2 linked regions of the Xenopus tropicalis genome follow. The protein of the gene in region 2 binds, or shares a complex with, the protein of the main gene of each other region. Links are inferred from orthologs where the notes say so. Each region holds a gene or a part of one and is shown on either strand. Other genes may lie near its edges. The genes, in order: lamtor5 and fnip1.

Evidence for each region.
Region 1: fnip1 (region 2) and lamtor5 share a complex: the UniProt entries of both Homo sapiens proteins name them as parts of the lysosomal folliculin complex. The link is inferred for Xenopus tropicalis from reciprocal best matches to the Homo sapiens genes FNIP1 and LAMTOR5.

What each region holds. Positions count from the first base shown.
Region 1 is NC_030678.2:72,305,999-72,310,578, forward strand, and holds the start of lamtor5 (ragulator complex protein LAMTOR5), read right to left. Parts: upstream 3,020-4,580; 5' UTR 2,928-3,019; coding exon 2,893-2,927; intron 2,541-2,892; exon of another isoform or gene 2,373-2,540; intron 2,343-2,372; exon of another isoform or gene 2,302-2,342; coding exon of another isoform or gene 2,270-2,301; intron 860-2,269; coding exon 798-859; intron 1-797. UniProt on the Homo sapiens protein: As part of the Ragulator complex it is involved in amino acid sensing and activation of mTORC1, a signaling complex promoting cell growth in response to growth factors, energy levels, and amino acids.
Region 2 is NC_030679.2:36,018,096-36,022,641, forward strand, and holds the start of fnip1 (folliculin-interacting protein 1), read right to left. Parts: upstream 2,871-4,546; 5' UTR 2,690-2,870; coding exon 2,601-2,689; intron 1-2,600. UniProt on the Homo sapiens protein: Binding partner of the GTPase-activating protein FLCN: involved in the cellular response to amino acid availability by regulating the non-canonical mTORC1 signaling cascade controlling the MiT/TFE factors TFEB and TFE3.

The sequences.
Region 1 (4,580 bases), on a different chromosome or scaffold from region 2:
TTTCATTAGCCTACCCAAACCTACCCTACACCTCCAAAAAAAAGTTTGTTTTTTTTTTTTTTTTTTTTTTAAAAAAGGCAGCCTCAAGGACAGGTTTGCAAGTGCTAAGCCACTGCTGATTTCAGAGGGAAAGTGAACCTTGTGATCACGAGTATTTTGTGGTGGGAGCACAAAGACTCAGCAACGCAGGTACAGAAGCTTCTGTTCTTGGCTTTTGGCATATATTGTCTGCTGCTGTCAGGGGCCCCAAGAGAATTAAAAACACAAGTAGGGTGGGGCTTGCATGGAGTAGGCAGGGTTTTGGACTAATGAAGCATGATGAGGGGATCAGGGGCATGGTTGTGTGTGTGCAGGCCATGGTGCCTTCAGCCCAGGTGACCAATGGATTAAAAACCTATTGTGTTACTTAACAGGGTTTACCAAAGGGGTCAGTACCCCCATGCAAGAGTCTGTTTGTTTCTACTGACTCTTTCACAGATTACTTTGGCTGCAGAGTAACAGATAGCAATCTCCATAAAAGGGAGAGGGAGCCTTCACATAAGACAAATATTGGAAGTTCAGCAGCTACACCAAATGGTCAAAGGTAATTCTCAGAGCAACGTAATTAATATAAAGCTGTTCCTCCGTTTGCTGCTATAATAGCCTCTACTCTTCTGGGAAGGATTTCCACAGCTGTTTATTTGAATTAAGCCTAAAAATGAATTTGTTAACCTTACTCAGAGTGTTCCTCAGAGTACTTTTGCAATTTACATCAATTTTCAATATTATACACAAAACCAATGTAAAAGGGTACTCACATCCCAGACTTAGCCCCTGTGAATCTGTACACAGAACTCCAACAATTGATGGATTTTTCATTCTGAAAAAGTAAGGAACGGCAAAACACTTGTGTCAAGATACCAAACAAATACTGGTTACCTATCTGAAAGCTATTTCAGCTATATCATCTCTACTAGTTCATAGGATATTATAGATATAGATTATTATAGATTAACCAAACAAATTTAAAAAGTGATAGAGTGGCCATAGCTGCCATTTTGTCCTTATAGTCAGGGGAAAAGAAAGATGATGTTGCAAAGTTTAGACAATTAGTCAGTCTCTGATGTTTCTTGTGTCAGTATTAAACAACACAACTTTTCTCAGAAATATATATATACTTCCAAATAGATGCCGGCACTCACTCACTCAGGTCCAAAAATTATTGAATATACTGGAGGAAGTGTCAGTACTCGCAGGACTTGTTGTTTTATTATATAGGAGACTAAAATTTCGGCTAGCACTCTAGCCTTTATCAAAGTGGTGAATACAACAAACTCAGTGTCTAAAAAGCACACAGTGGTGGGAAAAAGTGGAGATGACGTAATCCTACGTTACCAGACAGAGATCAAAATTATATCAAAAATAAATAATAACAAAAATTATATAGACAGGCAATAAAAAAAGAATACTAAATGGACAAAATAGAAAGTACAAGAGAATAACCACAAGGTCTAAGAAGAGTAACACTTTTTATGAAGCTAGATGTCAGGGATGTACCGTGAAAGTCAGAATATTAGAGTAAAATAGTCAGAAATATAATCAAGTGTTTAAATAAAGTTGAATCTTGGTTAAGGAATCAATAATATGTGATCGCACTGTGGGCAGATCGATCTGTGCAACCCGTTTATTAAACACCTCTATACAGATCATGCACTAGAAAATACTCACTAGCAGAGGATCAAGACCATGAATGTATTTGTTAAGTAAAATTCCAGGTGTAGAGTCAAACAAGGAAGCCACATGGTTGTGTGTCTGCTTGGACACAAACACACATCTATATATACACTTATTTACAGACCTATATGTACACACGTGTTGTTGCACATATACACATACAATTACACACATATTGATGCACATATATACACATGTGCACCTAAATATTTACTTATATATGTGTCTATATGTGCACATATATAAGCACTTTCATACACACATACGCATGTATATATGAGCACCTATGCACGCACCAATGAATACAGATATATATATATATATATATATACACACAATTGCAATAAAGGTTAGCACTCACAGGACTTTGGTTAATATTCACCAAAAAAGTTTTTTAGCAATATCTTACATGGTTTTTATTAATCCGACGTTTCAGCTCCACACAAGAGCCAGTATGCCTGACTCCATCAAAACATGCACAGCCCCCATCCCTTTCAGTTATGCCACTTTGCCCACCTACACAACTCCACTCCATCATCCTCCTCACATAACCTACCTGCCAGCCACTTGTGCCATTTCCTTACACATAACTGCATGGCCACCTCTGCCACCCAATTCACCTACACAGTTTCATGAGCCTTCTCACCCCCAATAAGGATTTACATGCAGTTAACTCATGACTCCCCAAACCTCCATGCCTGATATTGCACTGCTTCCTCCTAACAAAAACTCCAAGGCCTCCTCTGCTTTTCGAGTAAACCCCTCCAACAACTTCCTTGCAATTAATCTGTGCATCCGAATTTACATCCCCTCTTCAACTGCCTACCCGCCTAACAGCAACAACATGGTCGTTACCTTGTGTAACTAATAGCTCACACTTATGCTTATACCCCCTCCCCCAGATGCCCCAGTCTCCGAATGAACAGTGACAGTGTTCACCGCTTCCTCCCCCCACGATTTCCTCTCCTGAGTGAGATCACGCATGTAGGAATGATTAAAAATAAGAGAATCTGAACTATTACCAGCAAACTTAAAGACACGTTACGAAATTCAAGTTCTGAAGTGCATTTCTGTCTGTTTGAATTATTTCTGTTCTTTCGCTTTAAATGTCCTGATTTTACTAATTGAAAAAAACCAATTAATTTTATTTTCCTTAGTATGTGTTTACAGAGCACTCACGTATCTTCCAAATGCTGCTCCAGAGCCGCTTCCATAGCTGAGTCTCTTCTTCCTGTCAAAAAAACCTTAAAGCAGTTCCTCTTCCGGGTGTTTGCTCATGTGACCCTCCCGGTCAGCTGACTGTTAGACAGAAGGTGGGGCTAATGGGAGTTTTCGTTTGCAGTATTTGAAGCTCTGGCGCTATTAAGAAAAATCAATGAATGAAAAATACTATTAATATGCTTTGGCTTAATGGTGGTTCCGCTACAATGCACAATGCTTCATACAAAGCTAACATACTCTGAGAATAGGTTTCTTGATTACTGTTTTTACTGGCCTGACAGTAGGATTCTTGTCCATTTTGGTTTCTTGACTTCCTTTTGCAATTTAGTGTTTACAGAGGGTTAACTGACTTTGGGTGTCACGTGGGTTAATGTCCAGAGTGAATTTTACACCCAGTTCCATGGAGCTCTAGATTTGTTACTGCACATGACGTTGTTTCTTCTCCCAAATGGATGTGGTGGGCTTCAATCAAAGGAAATAAAATATTTCTAAAATATATATTAAAGGGTTTGTTCACCTTAGTTAAGTTAAGTGGCTATTGATAAACATAACCACAGAGTTTGTGAATGTGGTAAGAACTGAAAGCTCTACTGGGGCAAGGACAGATGTAAATTCCCCCTACTACTACCTGCCCAATCCTTAACTTGCATGTTATTCCTCACCTCATGCTGGATTGTTTATTAGGCCTAGGGTGCAGAGTGCAACCAGAAGCTTGACAGAAGTGGTCTTTTGAATGAGAAACTAAGAGTTATGCTATTGGACTTATGTCCGGGTCATATAAAAATGATCACTATTCACTTTCAATTCTTGTGCCACTCGGCACAAATGGTGGTTTTTGCCAGACTGTTCAATAAAAAACAGGAGAGGGTGCCCTTGCATAGAGTAGCATGCATTTATTCTAACAGGATGCTCCCACAGTTAAGGGTATGGGCCCAAACGGCTTAGTGTCAAGATTTTTCAATATTTTACGAGAAAACCCATCCTATACTAGCATATGGGAAAACACAGATACAGTTACATTCTTTACATAAGCTCACATTGCAGTCACGCTGTAATAGGGTAAAACACTACAATACTCTAGGCTGCTACAAGCTTATCTCTCTCTTGAACACTAAAGGTGGCCATACACAGGCTGATTGTAGCTGCCGGATATTGGTCCCTTGGACTGATTCGGCAGCTTATCGGCCCGTGTAGGGGCAGCAACGACTGCCTGCCCGACTGATAGCTGGCCTAAAATTGCCAGATATAGATCGGCAGGTTAAAAAATTCAGTTGGATCGGCGACCGTATCGGCTCGTTGATGTGGTCCCCCAACCGACTGGCTCCCCAGGGCCAAATGACCGAATTAACCTAAATTCCCCCGATATCGCCACCTGTTGATGGGGATATCGGGAGAAGGGACCTCGAAAGGCGAGCGGATCTTTAAGTATGGCCACCTTAAACATTTGTTTGTGGAAAAGGAGCAAGGCAACAAACAATTTAAATGTTCTGTTTTACAGAAATTACACAGGTAAATGAAATATAATTACATAAGTACTAGATATAACCAGCAGATGGTGCTATTGCTTAAAATTTTACTAAGAGCAACTTTACTTCGCTTTTTTTGAGGCTCTCAAACAAACGAATGTAATGTTACTATATTTCGTT
Region 2 (4,546 bases):
CTAGATGACAGATATTAAGGTTAATGTCAAATGCTTAAGTATTTAGCACCTATGTGCACTGTACAAACACATTACATACTGCATGCAACTTGGATAAACTTTAATTTATCCAGCTACAAGAAATCCATGTGCCATAAAAGGTGGAAAGATATTTAAAAAATAATTATTTCCTGCATTCTCTTAAAAGGGCAACATTTATTTTTCCCCATAAAATTTAGCATTTTATGCTTTTTGATTTTCTTTCCACATTTCTAATGCTTTCTCTGACTTTAAGAAACATGTCATAACAGTCTAAATTTAATTCTTAAAATCTAGCTCTTTGTTCAAAGTATTTTGCCGTTTATTTTTTTTTCTACAGGAAGTGTTCTCCAGCTAGACATAAACCATTTTATTCTACAGGACAAAAACCAAATTCAAGTCCTATACCTTAGTGAAAAATACATATAGTAAAATGTTGACTTTACATTCTTGGATTTTACATTCTTTAATTGCCATTCTATCCCATATAGGCAACCTGCGGGGTTTTTTTTCCCTGGATTTTATGTCTTCCTGAAATTTACACAAAATAAAAGTTTTGGGTTTTTTAAACTGAATCGTAGGCAAAAATAACTATGGCAAAATGACCCAACATTTGTTTTTCCATTGGTTATAAGAGTGTGAATGTAAAGGTATTTTGTCAGCAAACAGTTGATAATTCTAGACCTAAAAGTTAACTGAAATTAGAGTTAATATGGATATAGGACCTTTTATCCAGAAAGAGTGGCTTTTCTGGATGAGGAGTGTTTCCATAACTTGGATCACCATACATAAAGAAATAGGTCAGAAATGCAGCAATTATTTGCTTAAAATGGACTATATGTGAGATGGTCTTCCCGTAATTCTGAGCTTTCTGAATAACAGGTTTACATATAATGGATTCTATACCTGTATCCTACTTATATACCTGTAAGAAAGAAAATATACCTTGTGTTCCTAAACCTTAGCATCTTTAAAACCGATTTTATGTTTATCATGTGTCTGTGCTACAATTAGTAGTCTATGTGGCAAACCCCATACAAAACAATGAAACACATTTTTATCTGCTACAAATAGAAAACTACAAGACATGAGGCAAAGGCCTAAAACAAAGCACCAGTGCTGCCCTAGGCACTGGATCTCCAAGTACCCACTCACTAACTGGCACATGCGCTGTACAGTCTTCACATGTTCCAATGGTGGTAAAAAGAGCTTTTTTAAGCTTTTGTTTTATATATAACATGATACAGGGAGGGCACTCACCAAAAAAAAATCAGTAAATTGACTGGGTGCCAGGTGAGGAAATAACCATGTAGATAACGAAGGACTCCGCACTCACAGGATTTGAAAATAATCAAAAAGAATCTTTAATGTGCAGATATCAACGTTTCGATCACATAATGTGACCAAAATAATATAGTAAAATGAATTGTAAATTTGTCTGATCAAGAATTCAAAGTCCTTCTCTAACTCTATTTGCCCTGTATTTCTTGCTTCCTTTTGCCAACCTTCATGGTTTTATTGCCAGGCTGTTGCAAAGAGCCTATGTTTTTACTTTATATATGAAAAGAACAGATAAGCCTTGAGAAAAGTATGTGCCTGCCTCTCTGAAAGGAGACCTGACACTTTTCCATGTCCAAAATGACCCCTTGCAAGCTTTCACATGACTACTCAGTGTTACTGATACTTTTGTCTCACAAAGGCAAAGGATTTTTCCAGCAGACTCAGTGGAATGATTTGGCCGTTAGCAAAGGCAATGCAGCAGTAAACTCCAAGGCTGCAAGAGCACTGTCTTTACACCATGGTGGTCTCACACCCACAGATAACTTGATGAGACAGAATGATTATAAAGGCTTCACAATACAGCCTATAAATAACTGCTAGCACAGGTACGGGATCCGTTATCCAGAAAGCTCCAAATTACGGAAAGTCTGTCTCCCATAGACTCCATTTTAATCAAATAATTCATATTTTTTTAAAAATTTTCTCTCTAAAAATAAAACAGTATCCCAACTAAGATATAATTAATCCTTATCTGATGCAAAACAATCCTATTGGGATTAATTAATGTTTTATTGATTTTTTAGTAGACTTAAGGTATGAAGATCTAAATTACGGAAAGACCCCTTATCCGAAAAACCCTGAGCATTCTGGATAATGGGTCCTATACCTGTAACAAGGGCATATTATCTTGCTACCTCTTAATAAACAAAATGCTGCAAAAGGTTTCCCATTTTAATACCAATAGTTTTGCAGTAGATAAAAAACTAATGAGACAGATAATGCTTTCAACAGCTGTTAACATTATTAATGTATGTTGAAAAGTTGCTCAGAACTGTATTTGGCCCAATGGTGCTTTGGGGTTTGCCAGTGTTGCTTGCAGTATAGATGGAGCACAAGCAACAGCTCAAAGAGACACAGAATGCAATACTAATGGCAAACATGGGCTGCATCCTCATTCTAGGTAAGCCACTGAGGTAGGGAAGCCCCAAAGCCTTCAGCAGATAGCAGCAAACAAAAAGCCCAGCGATGTGAGCAAGCAAGGGGAAATAATACACAGATATAAACTCGTAGTAAAAAGGTACCTGAAAACATAGTCTTCTCTCGGGTCCCTGTTGGGAAACGCCTGCCCATTGCGCTTACTAAAAAGCTTCTGGAAGAGAGTGGGCGGCATTTTTTTGGTAAAGTTACACTATCTCCCCCAGCAGCGAGCCATTCTTCTGTTTCCCTCACTACACACTTAGCTCCCCATCTGTGTCCAAGTCATATGACTGCTTCTCCGCTTGACACCCTCGGCTGTCAGATGTGCTTAAGGGGGCGGGAATTCAGGGCACTCACCCCTCCCAGGTTCCTGCCAGCCACTTCCTGGAGAGAAAACGGCGGAGGGAGAAATGTAAGCAGTCCTGTGATTGGCTGGCTCGCAGCCGCAGACAATTGGCCTGGGCTCGTTGTGTTTTGTTTGTATGTGTACGGTGTCCATTTTAGGACATATGTGTGCAAAATGACAATGCGTCTCAATTGTATTCTGTTACTAAAAATTAATTATGTTGTCACCCCGTTAAGTTCTGAGTAATCCCACAAAGTGTCAGCGACTGTTCCGGGCTGTATCTTACACTGTTCTGCTTCCTCCTCCCTTCGCCCACCTCCCTCCGCCCTGCTTCCTCTCTCCACCTCTCTCTGCCTCCTGTGCTTGCTTGCTACCTGTGTGTAAACAGTAGTTCCTAGGTACCTCATACTTTCTCCTTTCTGCTCCCCGATCCCTCTATTTGGTACTATTCTACCTACTCCCTGATCCCTCTAGCCTGTCACATCCTCCAACATAACCCCATGACAGGTAGTCAGTGAGTGTGGTTATACCATTTTTTAAACTTCAAAATGTAAAAATGGATACTATAATAAGGGAATCTTTAAGTGCTCTTGAATCCTTTAATGATCTTTTAATAGAGTTAGATGTTTCTAATTATATCATTTTATACACTTAAAACTGCTGACAGTGCTCAAAATAAAAGTTACAAGTCAGTTTACCCCTGAACCTTAGCACAGAACAGGTTGTGGGGTGCATGTAGAATGCTACATCATACACGAATTAGGTAGCATGCTGTAGCATAAAGAATCAGGGAGAGTAGGGAGCAGGTAGAATCCTGCAGCAGGAAGAATCAGGGAGTGTAGGGAGCGTCAAGAACCCTGTAGCATGAAGAATCAGGGAGAGGAGGAAGCAGGTAGAACCCTGCAGCAGGAAGAATCAGGGAGTGTAGGGAGCAGGTAGAACCCTGCAGCATGAAGAATCAGGGAGTGTAGGGAGCAGGTAGAATCCTGCAGCAGGAAGAATCAGGGAGTGTAGGGAGCAGGTAGAACCCTGCAGCATGAAGAATCAGGGAGTGTAGGGAGCAGGTAGAATCCTGCAGCAGGAAGAATCAGGGAGAGTAGGGAGCAGGTAGAATCCTGCAGCAGGAAGAATCAGGGAGTGTAGGGAGCGTCAAGAACCCTGTAGCATGAAGAATCAGGGAGAGGAGGAAGCAGGTAGAACCCTGCAGCAGGAAGAATCAGGGAGTGTAGGGAGCAGGTAAAACCCTGCAGCATGAAGAATCAGGGAGTGTAGGGAGCAGGTAGAATCCTGCAGCAGGAAGAATCAGGGAGAGGAGGAAGCAGGTAGAACCCTGCAGCAGGAAGAATCAGGGAGTGTAGGGAGCAGGTAGAACCCTGCAGCATGAAGAATCAGGGAGTGTAGGGAGCAGGTAGAATCCTGCAGCAGGAAGAATCAGGGAGTGTAGGGAGCGTCAAGAACCCTGCAGCATGAAGAATCAGGGAGAGGAGGAAGCAGGTAGAACCCTGCAGCACGAAAATGTAGGAAGCAGGTAGAATGCTGCAACATGGACAAATTGCGGAGCAGGTAGAATGCTGCAGCACAAAGAATGACGGTACAGAAGGTACAATGATGCAGCATACACAAATCAGGGAGCAGGCAGAAGTGTAGGGAGCATCCAAAACCCTGCAGCATTAAGAATCAGGGAGAGTAGGGAGCAGGTAGAAC